Tamandua tetradactyla: one gene and its partner. The protein of the gene in region 1 purifies or fractionates together with the protein of each later gene. This does not show direct contact. Links are inferred from orthologs where the notes say so. Each region holds a gene or a part of one and is shown in the gene's direction. Other genes may lie near its edges. The genes, in order: CSTF3 and CSTF2T.

What was found.
Region 2: the proteins of CSTF3 (region 1) and CSTF2T purify together in Homo sapiens (co-immunoprecipitation; 4 studies listed by BioGRID and IntAct, counting the BioPlex papers as one, with this or other methods). This does not show direct contact. The link is inferred for Tamandua tetradactyla from reciprocal best matches to the Homo sapiens genes CSTF3 and CSTF2T.

The regions. Positions count from the first base shown.
Region 1 is NC_135334.1:109,356,586-109,364,972, reverse strand, and holds the start of CSTF3 (cleavage stimulation factor subunit 3), read left to right. Parts: upstream 1-5,141; 5' UTR 5,142-5,323; coding exon 5,324-5,350; intron 5,351-8,387. UniProt on the Homo sapiens protein: One of the multiple factors required for polyadenylation and 3'-end cleavage of mammalian pre-mRNAs.
Region 2 is NC_135339.1:45,356,419-45,364,982, forward strand, and holds the start of CSTF2T (cleavage stimulation factor subunit 2 tau variant), read left to right. Parts: upstream 1-5,198; 5' UTR 5,199-5,532; coding exon 5,533-7,446; 3' UTR 7,447-8,564. UniProt on the Homo sapiens protein: May play a significant role in AAUAAA-independent mRNA polyadenylation in germ cells. Directly involved in the binding to pre-mRNAs.

The DNA.
Region 1 (8,387 bases):
GGTTGGAGAAAGTCCTCCTATCTTGGACTAAAAATCCAGAAGCAATAAAAGTTGATACTTTTTATTATATAGAAACATTTTTACATGCCCCCTCAAAATCTGCCCGTCTCCCACTCCGCCCCCCAAACCATAATCAAAACCAAAAGATAAACAAGTAATAGGTATAAAGTATTTGTAATCTTTATAACACTCCAGAGGTTGATCTCTCTCATATATAAAGAAATTTTAAAAATCAAGATGATGAAGACCAAAAATATCACTGACAGATGGGCAAAAGACATTCATTGACAGTACAGAATAAAAAAAAAAATGACTCAAACATATGAAAAGATACAAAGCCCCACTTGTAATAAGAGGAGTGCAAATTAAAACTACAGAGATACAATTTCTTACTTGTCAGACTGACAAAAAAAATCCAAGTCTGACAACATATACTTGAAGAAAGTGTGAGAAATAAGGCTCTCTCATACACTGATTGTAGGAATGCAGAATGGCACAACTCCTATGCAAGAGAATTTGGTAAGCTCTAATAAAGTTACACACATATTTACTGTTTGATTGAACAATCCCACTTTCAGGAATCTATTCTGAAGCTAGACCTCCACACACGTAAAATAATATGCGCAAAATTATTTACTGCAGCATTATTTGTACAGCAAAAGATTGGAAACAACATAAATATCCATCCAAATGGGACAGGCAAATTTATGCCAAACCTACACAGTGGCATACAATGCAACAGCAAAAAAAAAAAGAGAGAGAGAGAGAGAGAGAGAAGAGATACAAAATCAATGAAATTATGGGAAAAAAAAAAAAAGACCAACACCCAACATAATGTCAAATTGGAACTGAATACAGGGTACCAGGGGTTGAGGAATAGGGAATTAATGCTTAATGGGTACAGAGTCTCTGCTTGGGATGATGGAATAGTTTTGGTAATGGATCATGGTGAGGATAGCACAACATTGAGAATGAATTAACAAGAATGAATTATAAACTTGAATATGTTTAAAATGAAACATGCTAGGTTGCATATATGTTACTACAATATGTATTTTTAAAATTTTAGTTGGAGGATAAGATGGCGGCTTAGTAAGATGCGCAGGTCTTAGTTCCTCCTCCAGAACAGCAACTAAAGAAACAGAAACAATACAAAACAGCTCCCGGAGCCACGACAGAGACCAAAAAGACAGCGTACCCCATTCTGGAACGGCTGTATGGGCAAGGAGAATCTGCTGCAGTGAGATACCCGAGGGGCGTGCGTTTTCCCGGCCTGGGCGGCTGGCGACTGGGGTCCCCTCCACGCACGTGGCTCCCCAGTCTGACTGGGAACGTTGGATAGCAGGGCCCTCCCGCCACGCTTGGCGTCTCGGGCCAGCTGGACAATTTGGACCGGCACTCCCCCAAGCTGCGGCGGCCAGGGACCCCCCCCCCCCACGTGCGGTTTCCTGGGCCGACTACGAGATTCGGATTGGCAAGTTAAAGGAGCCACAGCATCTTTTACTGGTGGGACCCGCAGACAGACAAGCACCACGAGCGCCACCTACTGGGCAGGAAAAGAAAAACAGAGCCCAGAGATTTCACAGAAAAACCTTTCAACCAGCTGGTTCCCACACCCAGGGAAATCTGATCAAATGCCCAGACACCAGCAGAAAATAATGGATGACGCTCGGAAAATTGAAGATATGGCCCAGTCAAAGGAACAAACCAATAGTTCAAATGAGATACAGGAGCTGAGACAACTAATGCTGAATATACGAACAGAAATGGAAAAACTCTTCAAAAACCAAATCCATAAATTGAGGGAGGACATGAAGAAGACATGGGCTGAACAAAAAGAAGAAATAGAAAATCTGAAAAAACAAATCACAGAACTTATGGGAGTGAAGGACAAAGAAGAAAAAATGGAAAAAACAATGGATACCTACAATGGTAGATCTAAAGAGACAGAAGCTACAATTAGTGAACTGGAGGATGGAACATCTGAATTCCAAAAAGAAACAGAAACTATAGGGAAAAGAATGGAAAAACTTGAGCAGGGGATCAGGGGACTGAATGACAATATGAAGCGCACAAATATACGTGTTGTGGGTGTCCCAGAAGGAGAAGAGAAGGGAAAAGGAGGAGAAAAACTAATGGAAGAAATTATCACTGAAAATTTCCCAGCTCTTATGAACGACCTAAATTTACAGATCCAAGAAGTGCAGCGCACCCCAAAGAGAATAGACCCAAATAGGCGTTCTCCAAGACACTTACTAGTTAGAATGTCAGAGGTCAAAGAGAAAGAGAGGATCTTGAAAGCAGCAAGAGAAAAACAATCCATTACATACAAGGGAAACCCAATAAGACTATGTGTAGATTTCTCAGCAGAAACCATGGAAGCTAGAAGACAGTGGGATGATATACTTAAATTACTAAAAGAGAAAAACTGCCAACCAAGACTTCTATATCCAGCAAAATTGTCCTTCAAAAATGAAGGAGAAATTAAAACATTTATAGACAAAAAGTCACTGAGAGAATTTTTGACCAAGAGACCAGCTCTGCAAGAAATACTAAAGGGAGCACTAGAGTCAGATACAAAAAGACAGAAGAGAGAGGTATGGAGTAAAGTGTAGAAAGAAGGAAAATCAGATATGATATATATAATACAAAAGCCAAAATGGTAGAGGAAAATACTATCCAAACAGTAATAACACTAAAAGTTAATGGACTGAATTTCCCAATCAAAAGACATAGACTGGCAGAATGGATTACGACCCAGCAATACCACTGCTAGGTATCTACTCAAAGGACTTAAGGGCAAAGACACAGACGGACATTTGCACACCAGTGTTTATAGCAGCATTATCTACAATTGCAAAGAGATGGAAACAGCCAAAATGTCCATCAACAGACGAGTGGCTAAACAAACTGTGGCGTATACCTACGATGGAATATTATGCAGCTTTAAGACAGACTAAACTTATGAAGCATGTAATAACATGGATGGACCTAGAGAACATTATGCTGAGTGAGTCTAGCCAAAAACTAAAGGACAAATACTGTATGGTCCCACTGATGTGAACCGACATTCGAGAATCAGCTTGGAATATATCATTGGTAACAGAGACCAGCAGGAGTTAGAAACAGGGTAAGATAATGGGTAATTGGAGCTGAAGGGATACAGACTGTGCAACAGGACTAGATAAAAAAAACTCAAAAATGGACAGCACAATAATACCTAAGTGTAATGTAACTATGTTGGAACACTGAATGAAGCTGCACCTGAAATATAGTTTTTTTGTTTGTTTGTTTTTTTGCATCTTTTGTTTTTGTTTTTTTCTTTTTCCTTTTTTATATATATATATTTTTTATTAGTATTATTATTTTAATTCTCTTCTCTATATTAACATTCTATATCTTTTTCTGCTGTTTTGCTAGTTCTTTTCCTAAATCGATGCAAATGTACTAAGAAATGATGATCATACATCTATGTGATGATGATACTAAGAATTACTGAGTGCATGTGTAGAATGGAATGATTTCTAAATGTTGTGTTAATTTCTTTTCTTTTTTTTTGATTAATAAAAAAAATTAAAAAAAAATTTTAGTTGGAAATCTCAATATGAACTCATAATTAAATCCATACATTTCCTGCTCTGAACACTGAAAATGCCACTACAGTAGGAACTGGGATCCCACCGGAGAAATGACTGGACCTGCAACTGGGAACATTGTGAGCCTGGGACATCTTGTGTAGGCCAGGGAGATGTCCAACACTAATGGCATCATGTAAAAAGGAGGTGTGACCAACTCACCCAGTATGACAACACTTCCACTAGCCCCAAAAGAACAGTGATACAATTAATTGAAACACCTTAAAATCTTAAAAACAACAACAAAACATGAATTCACGTTTTTATGTTTCAATAAAGAGAAAAGCCAGAAAAAATAAATTTCTACTACTTGAAGCAGGCATTAAATCAAACACTTTACTGAGAAAATTAGTCAGTAAAGGGGAAAAAAATAGGCATCTATCTTGCTTTCTTAAGATTGATGAGGGAAAACGCTTTTTTTTTTTTTTTACATGGGCAGGCACTGGGAATCGAACCCGAGTCCTCTGGCATTGCAGAGCAAGCATTCCTGCCTGCTGAGCCACCATGGCCCGCCTGGGAAAGTGCTTTTTAACAGAATGGGAAAAGAGTTTTTTGAGAAAACTTGATCTCATTTAATCTCAGACTATGCCAGGTTCTGCTCCAAGCAGTTTTTCATGTATTGACCTATTCAAATTGCTGGCACTATTAATATTCCCCTTTATAGGCAAGAAAATTGAGGCACAGAAAGGTTAAATTGCTCATGATTGCTCATCTAGTTAGAGGTGGACACATAATCTGGCTCCAGAGCCCAACTGCTATTATCTCCACTTTGCAGATAAAGAACCACGGTAAGGTACAGTTTAGAACCCCGGTTGTACGGCCTTCAAAGCCTTCTGCACAATAGTACATGGTGACGGTAAAAATTAATATGGGCTTGGGGGTGCAAGGGTAGTTCAGTGGTAGAATTCTCACCTTCCATGCAGGAGACCTGGGTTCCATTCCCCATCCATGCACTTTCCAAAAAGCAAACAAAAATTCAACAAATGGTGCTGCAATAATGGGATACTCACATGGACAAATAATGAAATGTGATCCCGCCATACATCATACAAAAAAAAAAATTAATCTGGGCTTGGTCTGGCTGTTCTTCACACCCCAAGAAGCATAAATATTTTTAGCTGATACCACAGAAAATCTTGATGTATTCCTTATCCCCTCAGAAGAGGAGGCATTTAACAGTTAACACTGTTCCCTAAATGGGAACTGACCTGAACTGACTGGCAAGTTCTAGTTCAACTGTTAGCCCTATTCCTACAGGATAGGGCTCTGTAACTCCGTAATTAAGTTCCAAAACCGCGTGAGTCCCCAGGCCAAATGGTTTCCCGCCTCCCAGCCGGTTGTAACCAGCTCAGCAACAGCCTCTCTCACCCAAGGGCGGAGACTCAGCCCTGGCATTAATTCTGGCCTCTGGGATCTTTCTGCGTCTGCGCACCTAGAGTAACTGGCGTGCGTCGGTACTAGTTCCGACCTTTGGCCCGGAAGTTAACAGGAAGCCACGCCCCCTCTGCTCGGCCGGCAGGGGCGCAGCCATTTTAATTCACATCTGAGTGGGCGGTGGTGTTTGGTGTTGGCGGTCTGGCTCTGCTGGGCAGGGGTAACTTTATTGGTCTGGGGTTGGTTTTTAGTTTAAAATTTCTTTTCTAGCTTCTCGTCGGGGGCCAGTGTGCACGTTTTAATCAGCTGAGGCCATGTCAGGAGACGGAGCCACGGAACAGGTGAGGAAGGAGAGTGGTGGGGCCTCGTGGCGACTCTTCTCTCCACGTCGGTGTTCGTCCGCGTTCGTCCGCGTACTCCAGCCATGTTCGCCTGAGGAAGAAATCAGGGGTCTCTTGAACCCGGAGAACGGGGTGCTGAAGAATGAGAGAATGGGGAGCAAGATCTGACTGGAATTAAGAAGTGTTTTCCGACTTCTCTCTCGTAGGCATTATTACGAGCAAATATTTGATCCGAACAATAGCCGGGAGGCTGCTTTGTCCCCTTTAGATATAGGAATACTTGGCATGGGATGCTTTTCCTTTGATGTCGTTTTGTGGTTAAGATGGTTAGGAATTATTTTAACGTGTACCCGCCGCCTTTGAAAAACTTAACAATGTTCCCTCCACCCCTTTTCCAAGAAATATACTGTACCCAGAAATAGGGAGCTTACTAGTTTGAGAAATAATTGGAGACAAAACATTTGGGGAAAAATGTTCTTGGGAGAGCGAATGAAGAGAAAAAATCTTCGAGCGCTCATGGTTATGCTGAGATTCTGGGAATTTTGTGGCTTTCTCGCTCCTTTTTCTCCCCTGTACCTACATTTCTTTTTTCCAGCGACACAGACATTGCAGAATTTGATAAATCGGAAACGAGAATTCTGTTTTGGCTACTTAAGTAAAAGCATCTGTTTTAGTACTAGATATGCCACTTAGGTGTTTTTAAACTAATATTTTTAGGTCAATGTGGTTTTTTCTGTTCTTTTGTAGTTTCCATTCAGAATTTGATAGTAACTAGTTTTTTTTTTTTTGAAAGAGGTTTGTTTGAAAGCTATTTTGTGAAAGAACTCCTTAAATTCATTTTCTGTGTGAAGTCCTGGTATGTTTAGATAGAGACAGTTTTTAAAATGGAGACTAGCCTGCAAACTCAATTTCCTGAAATTTCCCATTGCCATAGCAACGAAATACACTTACGTTTTCATTTTCGAGTCCCCAGCATATAACTAACTTATAGGCTGACAGAGAGGAGACAAAATAGGAACATTCCCCTTGAATAGGCTGTACATTTCATTATACTGTGCAAGTTTGTCTATGGACAACTTTTTGTGTTTGTTCATGGACTCATTTTAGTCCTGAAATTTTCAGTGTTTACATGCTGTGTAATGCTCAAGAATGTAAAGTCTTAAAATTAAATCAAAACTAAATTTTACCTGTCCTTTTTTTCTGGACTAGTATTTTGTCATCTGAAAGCCAGGGAGGAGTAATGCAGTGAGGTTTCATTAAGTTTCCAAAATTCAGTGATCGTTCTTAAAATGCATCTAAAACCGTAAAGATACTGAAATGTTGACCATGACTTTGTATATTTCAGAACTGTGCTGTTTTAACGGAAAGAGATGGTGGTGAAAATTCACAGAAAAATAATTTCCCCCAAAGTTAGATAAAAATTGAAAGTGCGTTGAACAGTTACAGTACAGTTCTTCGCCTGGAACCAAGTTGTTAATATTTTGCCATAATTGCTTTGTTTCAGCATAATTTACTTGAAGGTCATTGACAAATATTTCACCCCTATATATTTCAGCATTCTCTACATTATGTTATGTAACCACAATACCATTTTCACACCCAAGAAAATACTAATTCCATATCATTTAAAAATCCAGTCCATGTTCTGATTTTCCCAGTTGTTCTAAAAGTGATTTATAGGTTTTCTTTTTGTTTTAGTTTGTTTTCAGAAACAGGGTCTAATCTAGGTTCACATATTGTGTCATGTGGTTATATCCCCAGAGCAATCATAACCCTCTCTCCCAAACATATTGTCTTTTTGAAGAAGTCAGTTCAGTTATTTTCTCACTGTCTGGATTTATTTGATCGTTTTCTTGTGGTGTCATTTTACTTGTCTGTAGATCTTTATCCAAAATCTTTAGGATTAAATGTGAACTCAGCCTTGATAAAAATTCAGGTTAAATATTTTTTGCTAAGATACATTTAGGTGGTGCTTCATTTTCTATTACATCAAAAGGCACTTGATGCTGGGTTGTTCCATTGTGCTGGTTTAGTTTAATTAGTTAGGGTGGTGACTGCTGAATCTTTTCATTGTAAAGGCTTATTTTACCCTTTTGCAGTAGGTAATGTGGGTTGATACCATGTTCCTCACTCAGACTTTCTTTTCATCCATTGATAATCTTTTACTAAACCAGTTATTACAGTGTAGGTGGCAAAATGAAGACTTTTTAAAAAATCCTATTATTGTAGTTATATTTATTGGCTCATGTTGTTCTGTAGAGAGGTTTCCTCTCTCTTTTAAAAAAAAATTGAGTATCACTGATTCATGGGTTTGTTTATTTAGTGTTATATTCAGCTGTAGTAATTTTTCTTTTGATTAACTTATCCCAAATTTACCTGAGATAGCACCTTTATGGTGGCTCCTATATCTTTCCTTCAGTCTGAAATCAGATATTTTTTGACGTCTGATTCTTCATGCAACTTTTTATTTAACTTTTAAATAGTAAATTTCAAACACATAAAAGAAAGAATAGGGCCACAGTGGCTCAACAGGGAGAGTTCTTGCCTGCCATGTCAGAGACCCCAGTTTGATGCCTGTCCATGCAAAAAAAGAAAGAATAGTACAGTGTGTCAACTTTACTTGTCATCCAACTTCAACATTTCTCAACTCAGGGTTGATATTGTTCTTTCCATACCTTCACTTGTCCCCCCCCCCCCCATTACTTTGAAGCAAATTCCAGATATTATATGATTCAGCTTTTAACTGAATTGGTAATTAATTGACATTTTAGAGTGACATTAAAAATATGAATTAACTGTACTTTGTTTGAAAGTGAGACAGCTGTTAATGAAAACTTAAAGGGAGATGAGTGCCTAAAATGATGGGTGAGGGAAAAAAGTAAATAAAACTATAGAGAATAATAAGAAAAAAGCAAAACCACTCTGAAGCATGAATTTGCTTTGAAAGGATGTCAAGGGTTGAGATGGATAAACAATCTACAAGATACGAGGTGTAGATTTCTTTTAGCCTTCCTGTAGCATGGAAACTGCAAACAAG
Region 2 (8,564 bases), on another chromosome or scaffold:
CTGTGCTCTTACACACTTCATCCTACTGCCTCTCAGAAGCTCAGAGAGCATAGTTTGGATAGGAAGGTCTGAAGATCTGGATCCCATTACAAGCTACACCAGTTACTAGGCCTCTGACCTTGGTCAAGTCCCTTGCATTTCCTAGTCCTCATTTTCTTCATTTATAGGTGAAAAAAAAGAGAAAGAGAGAGAGTTGGACTATACAATCCCTTTCAAACAGAACATTTGGTTCTGTCCAACCTCTAGGTCTTGAATGACATATTCCCAGCAATCTCAAATTCATGTAATCTTAGTTTTGCCAATAAAAATGATTCATCCCTTGCATAAATAAAATTTACTATTTATTCCTCTGTTGTTTTATATTAAATCATTAAAAATTTTAGCTAAAATGTCACACACCATCCTAACAGTGGGTTTGAAAAATGCTGGCTCTTTCACTTCATAGAAAATCAGTTCATTACCTATCTAACTGGATGTTTTTAAAATTCTGATGTGATGTTTCACTCTAGTCCTGAAAATTGAAAAGGGAAACATTTTCCCAATTGCTTCAATCTTTATGCTGTATAGTCCATCTGTTGCCACAGCACTGATTATGATGTCAAAATTGAGATTAGTTTCATCAGAAACAATCAGGAAAAAGGCCAAGGGAAACTATGCCAGGCCTCAGAAACCTGTGATTACTATATAAATGTTGAAAAGGATGTTTAAAATTAGAGACCTGGTTTTTGGCTGTAGCTCAATTTAAGAACTTGAGCTCCTGAGTCAGTGTCTGTTCAAATCCTGACTCTGCCAGTTAATAGCAATATAATAACCATGGGCAAGCCAGTTGACGTCTCTGTAGCTCCATTTTTTTAGCAACAAATTGAGATACTATGATGGCTTGACTCAAAAGGGTAGTTGAAAGGAGTAAATAAAATATTTTATTTCACAGAGCATTTATCAAAGGACCTCCTACATATTAAGTGCTCAGAGTTAGCTTTTATTAATAGTATCTATAATTTGAGCGAGTCCATTACTGATAAAGTTCTATATAATAGCTCTCTGAGTTTTCACATCTTTAAAATGAGGGTAAAACTGTTTGAGCCTCACATGATTGCTGTCAGGACCAGATATGGAAATCCAAGTTAAAGTGTTTTGTAAACTAAAAGGGCTAAATTATTATTTGCTTAACATAATGTGTCATTATAAGATGGCCAAGCACTGAGTGTTTGTAATATAAAAGGCACAGGACAAGACATTATGAAGAATATAAATCAGATATGTGTTATTTGCTTAAGTGATAACATAAGGCTATTAACACCTATAATACAAGATAGAAGATAATGAACATCAAGCTAATATTCTAAAAGGGAAGTCTTTTTTTTTGGACTGGAGAATCTACGCCTTTATTTTGTTAAGAATACAAACATGTAAGAGCAGTTGGGGGCCCTAGTCATAGCTATGAGTGTCCCTGGGGGGTCAGGGTCTTCCCTGTCCTTCTGTGAATTTATATTAAGGGGAAGTCCTGAAGTGAGCATTGAAGGACAAGAAGGATTTAGACTTGGGGAGAAGAGGTAGAGAGGAAAAATATTATCCCTGATAGAGGAGCAGTATAACCTCAGAGGCAGAAATGCACAGATCATATATGGTGAAAAGTAAGTGGTACAACTTAGAAGAAAATACATAAAAAGGAGGGAGGCTAATGACAACGAAGCCACATAATTATAACAGGTTGTCAAATGCAGGAAGCAAGTGCTGCAATTTAGGAAAACTGTCATGAGGGACTGAAATAGACAGTTCAGGTGCAGAAGATACCATAATGGAGAAAGAATCTATAACACTGGTATTCTTAAACCCTCACCATTTATTCCATGGTCATGTTTCAGAAAGAGGGAAGAAAGCCTGACTGCACATCAAATTTAGACTCGTGAATCTGGTGGTTAAAATCTTTTATAATCTGTCTCCCAAATCAATCATTTATCACCCTACTAAACAACTCTCTATTGATTTCCTCTGTGAGTATCAAAATTACCAGGTCCCAACTGTGTGTCTTGGCTACTCCTAGCTACTAGATTATCCTCATCATCTTTTTTTTAAGCAATTTTATTGAGATACATTCACAAACCATATAATTATGCAAATTATATAATCAGTAGTTCACATTATCATCATATAGCTGTGCATTTGTCATCTTATCATCTTTTGTCCATTTGACCAGATTATAACTCATTCCTTAAATCCCATCTTCATCAGGAAACGTTCCATGGTGATCTAGATGGTATCATTCTCTTCCATCTCTATGTTACTCATTACATATCTGGTTTATCAAATAGTAACATGGACATACCATGCCTAAGCTAGGAGTGAACTGGTAGGATTCTAACAGCATGCTTCTTTCCTGCTTTGGAACATATCATTTAACCCCCAAAATTTCCTTCTCTGTAAAATGAAGGGCTTGTGGATTAGCTAACCCTAAATTCATTTTTCATTACTCACTGAACAAATATTCAGTGAGAAACTACCAGTGCTAAACTCTATTATCTGTACTGAGGATAGTGATGAAGAAAAACCATCTATCTATGGCTGTTTTCCTGTAGTACTATGGCTCTCAAACTTTAGCCAGCATCAGAATCACTTGGAAGGCTTGTTACAACATGAATTTCTACACACATGCACCATGCCCTCCAGAGTTTCTGACTCCCTAGTTAGGGACAGGGCCCTCAAACTTGCATTTCTAAGAGGTTTCCAGGTGATTCTGATGCTTCTGGTCCAGGGATCAAACTTTTGAAAAATCTCTATTCTTGTAGAATACTTGACTTTTTCACTGCTGTATTGCCTCTGACTAAAACTATACTCAGTATGTATTTATGGAATGAAAAAAATAATAGAAATTGATATGGGGTATCTAGCTCTTTCTCTTGAATGATTTTATAGTCTACAGGGAAAACACACTAATTTCATTAACAGGTTTAAGAGTTATTGTCATGAGGTAGGTACAAATAAGGAATGGTTTACATCAAAAGGAAAAGGAAATTATGTTCAACCTCGAGGAAGAGGAGGAAGATCTGGAAAAACTTTGTGGAGGAATATATTCAAACTGTGCCTGGAAGAATCCATATACATATTTCAAAGATGCCTGCCACACTCAAAATATTTTTAGAACCTCTCTGTTGAATTTATCTTATTAATCTATAGTGAATCTTCCATTAATGTCCTCAAAGTCTATGGAATCTTTGTATTTTGGTATAAGTTTTGATATTTGAAAATAGCGAAACATCAGACTTTGGCATGTCTGGCCAGAAAGTTGGGTGATTAATTTGTTTCTGCCAAAAGCAAGTTTTGCCACTAATTATCTAGTATTACTTAATGATGGGGCCCTGAAGCGATACCTCAGAAAGCGTTTATAATTCAGTTTAAACAATGGCAGCATCAATAACTAAAGTTCATATTCTATGAAGGTAGTCGGTTTGAAAGACACCCCCCATTTAGCCATCTAGACCCTGATGTATTTTTTTAATCATCATTTGCATAATTAACAGCTTGATTTATTGAACGAATTGATCAGTGGACATACAATAAGCTTTGTATATTTTTCTTCAGAATAAATATTGTGCTATAAATCCCTTAAGTTTAAACTTTCTGGGAATAAAGAACATTGTATAAAAATGGACATTTTTCCAAAGTAGAGCTATAAAAAATATGTATTTTCACCAGTAAATGTACACAGGTTCATAAGAGCTCTTGGTGATTCTGGGCAACTCTGTTAATAATAAATATTAGTTTATGCGTTGCAGGCATTTACTTATGTGCTGGGTCACATTGGTCCTCCGTGAAGGGGGCCGTGTCAAAGCAGCACCCACCATTCTTCCTATCCCTGGATGGAACAGGGTGACTGAGAAGACCATGGAGGGCTAAGGACAAAAAGCAGGCTCATGCTCTCGGCTGTTTGTCCACAGAATTTCTCAGCTTCTCTTTGTCTACCCATCCTTTGAGCCCGGGGTTATCTTCAGTTGTGTGTGTGTGGGGGCGGGGGGGGGGGGGGAGTTGCGTATCAGTACATCCTAGCAGTACTAGATCCACATGATTTTTTTTTTCAAACCACCCAGCTCTCCTACCTTTTAACAGAGTGTACTAAATTTAATTCGGCCTAATGCATGTGAAGATAAAGCATTTCAAGTTTTTTGTTTACGAGTGGTTGTTAAAAGTGTGGGTCCCAGACCAGCCTGAAACTTGTTACACATGCAAATGACCTAGTCCCACCCCGGATCAGAACCTGGGTGGGAGAAAAGAGCCCCAACAATCTGACTTAACGAGCCCTAGTTCCAGGTGTTTCCGTTGTGGGCTACCATCTGTGAACCACTGGGTGCTATCAGTAGCAGCAGTAAAGGAGCTACTTTTTAAAAGTTTTCTGAAATACCATCTTTAACTCCTCACAACCCCACCCCCGGCCCCCCATAAAAGAAAAAGAATAAGGGGGGGGGGATCTTTCCTAGCAGACAGCTTTTCTGTTTCTCTGAGGCAGCAAGTAGATTTTATTGGGTGATATATATACGCTTGCACATACAAATTGGCATGTGTCTTGGGCGAACAGGTATGTCAAATCCTGTTTGAAAAGACTATTAAAACACTTGAGAGTAAATGGATGCAATAAAAATATCGTATTATATACACTGAACTATAAACTAAATGCCTACTAATACAATGGTTACATACATTTGCTTAATTCAAGCCTTGCAGCCACAAAACGCTATTTATTAGCAATGATTAACATTAATATCGACTAGCACTATTACGAAAAGAAAGAAAAACAATCCAGTATGAATTGATTGATTTTGTGAACCAAGAAAAATCTGCAAGAACCGGCAAACCCGAAGCAACAGATTGGGGGCGGGGAGGGAACCGGCACACGTGTTCAGTCTTTCTGCTTAGGCAGTTATTTTCCAAATATGTTTTTCTCTAAAGGAGAAATTATGTTTGTAATTTAAGGAGCGAATATCAAATCGGCTTTAAAACTGCCCTTTCTGTCATAGTTTGGAACATGGTTTTAAATATTGCTTAAATACTCTACATTAAGAGTAAACGGCTACATGAAAATATTTGCCTCAGAATGAAGAAACACCCCCCTGCCTTCATCAGCTTTCGGTTGGCGGTTTCGCGCCGGCCGAACGGAAGCCGAACGGACCCTTGACGTCAAAAGAGGCGGCCTGTCTCGTTTACCAGGATGAAGCCAATACTGCCATCTTTACTTAGGTCACCTCACACCAAGCTCTCCCTGGTAGGAGTAGGGCGCCATGGAAAGTCGGCATAATAAGAGAAAAGGAAAAGTGCATCTCGGTAACAATTTGCTGACAGAACCACGAAAGGCCTGGGGCTGGCAAGCGTTAAACTAGGGGGACATACAGGTGCGGTTTCCGCAGAGAAGCGGAACGATTCAAGCGCATCAATGAGGTTTCTGCCCGGATTTTGAGAGCCGTTTCCGCTAGTTGCCGGAAGTGTGTATTGGGGGACAACTCTCGAAAGAATCCGCTATCCGCTGTTTTCATAAACGGAATCATGTCGAGTTTGGCTGTGAGAGACCCGGCAATGGATCGATCACTGCGTTCCGTGTTCGTGGGGAACATTCCGTATGAGGCAACTGAGGAGCAGTTAAAGGACATTTTCTCGGAGGTTGGTTCTGTTGTCAGTTTCCGTCTGGTATACGATAGAGAGACGGGAAAACCCAAGGGTTATGGCTTCTGCGAGTATCAAGACCAGGAGACCGCGCTTAGTGCCATGCGGAACCTCAACGGGCGGGAGTTCAGCGGGCGAGCGCTTCGGGTGGACAATGCTGCTAGTGAAAAGAATAAGGAGGAGTTAAAGAGTCTAGGGCCGGCAGCGCCCATCATTGACTCACCCTATGGGGATCCCATCGATCCGGAAGATGCCCCTGAATCAATTACTAGAGCAGTCGCCAGTCTCCCTCCGGAACAGATGTTTGAGCTAATGAAGCAGATGAAGCTCTGTGTCCAAAACAGCCACCAGGAAGCTCGAAATATGTTGCTTCAAAACCCGCAGTTGGCTTATGCGCTGTTGCAGGCACAAGTGGTGATGAGAATCATGGATCCAGAGATTGCTTTGAAAATTCTGCATCGTAAGATACATGTCACGCCACTAATTCCGGGCAAATCTCAGTCTGTCTCCGGCCCAGGCCTGTGCCCAGGACCTAATGTTCTGCTGAACCAGCAGAACCCTCCAGCCCCTCAGCCTCAACATTTGGCTAGAAGACCCGTGAAAGACATTCCTCCTCTGATGCAAACTCCTATCCAGGGTGGAATTCCAGCCCCGGGGGCGATCCCAACTGCTGTTCCTGGACCTGGAACTGGTTCCTTAACTCCTGGAGGAGCAATGCAGCCCCAGGTTGGAATGCCTGGGGTTGGCCCAGTGCCTTTAGAGCGGGGACACGTACAGATGTCAGATCCCAGGGCGCCTATATCTCGTGGACCCATGACTGCTGCTGGCCTGCCTCCTAGAGGACTGCTAGGAGATGCTCCAAATGATCCACGTGGAGGGACTTTGCTTTCAGTTACTGGAGAAGTAGAGCCCAGAGGTTACCTGGGCCCACCCCACCAAGGTCCCCCCATGCACCATGTCTCTGGTCATGACAACCGTGGACCTGCCTCACATGAAATGAGGGGAGGGCCATTAGCAGATCCCAGAATGCTAATTGGAGAGCCCAGAGGACCCATGCTAGATCAAAGGGGTCTACCCCTGGATGGTAGAGGTAGTAGAGATTCTCGAGTGATGGAGACTCGAGCCATGGAGACTGAGGTCTTAGAGACACGAGTAATGGAGAGAAGAGGAATGGAGACCTGTGCGATGGAAGTTAGAGGCATGGATGCAAGAGGAATGGAGATAAGAGGTCCTGGCCCCAGTTCAAGAGGCCCTATGACTGGTGGAATCCAGGGTCCTGGTCCCATCAGTATGGGGGCAGGTGGCCCTCAGGGTCCCAGACAGGTTCCAAGCATTTCAGGAGTGGGAAATCCTGGAGCTGGCATGCAGGGGACAGGCATCCAAGGAGCAGGCATGCAGGGGGCAGGCATGCAGGGGGCAGGTATGCAGGGGGCAGGCATGCAGGGGGCTGGTATGCAGGGGGCAGGCATGCAGGGGGCTGGTATGCAGGGGGCAGGCATGCAGGGGGCAGGCATGCAGGGGGCAGGCATACAAGGGGCAGGCATTCAAGCAGTGGGCATCCAGGGGGCAGGCATACAAGGAGGCGGCATGCAGGGGGCAGGCAAGCAAGGTGGAGGCCAGCCTAGCAGTTTTAGTCCGGGGCAGAGCCAGGTAACTCCACAGGATCAAGAAAAAGCAGCATTGATCATGCAGGTTCTTCAACTGACTGCAGATCAGATTGCCATGCTGCCTCCTGAGCAAAGGCAGAGTATTCTGATTTTGAAAGAGCAAATCCAGAAATCCACTGGAGCTTCTTGAAAAGTTTTAGAAAATACACAAGGCAGTAATCTCAGAAAGTTAATTCTGTAGCATGGAGAAGGGGTGCAAAAAGCTGATTTACACATCCCCACACTTGAAAGTTTAAGATTAAGGTTTACCTCTGCTTCCTAGAGCCTAATCTCATTTTTTCTTATTTTTCTTTCCTTCAGCTTTCCTTTTCACTTTTAATTGGGGGGAGGGGGTGGAGGGTATGGGTCTGTTCACTCAAGTTACCGAGAAATACAAAAGTAACACTGAACATGATTGTATTTTACCAAAAAAGCTTATAAAGAATGTGCGACAATATGAAAGGTATCTACAATATGTTAACTACATTTTTAAAAATTGAGTAGAACTATGAAAACTGCACATAAAGATTATGGTAACCTGTGTTAAAATGGCAATGTGTTAAGATAGTTTAAGATTTTAAGTTGTAGAATAAAAAAGTTTACCTCAAAATTATAAAGTTATATTTTTTGGTAAGCCATTTAAAGGCTAAGCTTTATGTTTTTGAGTTATGTTGAAATGTTAAGAGTTAATGGGATAAGTTTAAACTTGTGGTATTGGAATTGCTTTCTTCTAAAGCTGTGCTACCTGAAAAATCAAGGAGTGCACCTGGTTTTATGTTGCTTCATTTATCCCACCCTTCAGAGACATTGTTCTAGTCTAGCTCTGATTAGATTCAGTCTAATTCAGTACCTTCCCTTGCCTCAAGTCTTTAAGCCCTAAGTCAAATCTGAGTAATTTTTACTTGAAAATTTGTATCACAGAACAAGTGTTGGTTAACATAAGCCTAAACTTCCACATAGCCAAATGATCGTACTCTGAAGAAAAATAACCAGTTACATAAGAAAAAATATTTAATGCAAGGAGAGAGGTAAGACTTAGAAATTGAGTTAGTTTTCCTCTTCAGGATTTTAACATCCTAAATGGGGATTGCACTCTTTTCACAGAGTTCTTCATCACTACACTGTTGTTGCTCTTTTACTACTGTTTTTTGTACATACTGTTAACTTTCCCATGTTTTCTATGTACTCATCCCATACTGGAGTGGTAACTCTCCTTTATATGTATGATTGCTCTGGTTAATACTAATTCATAGTTGATTTCATTATCTT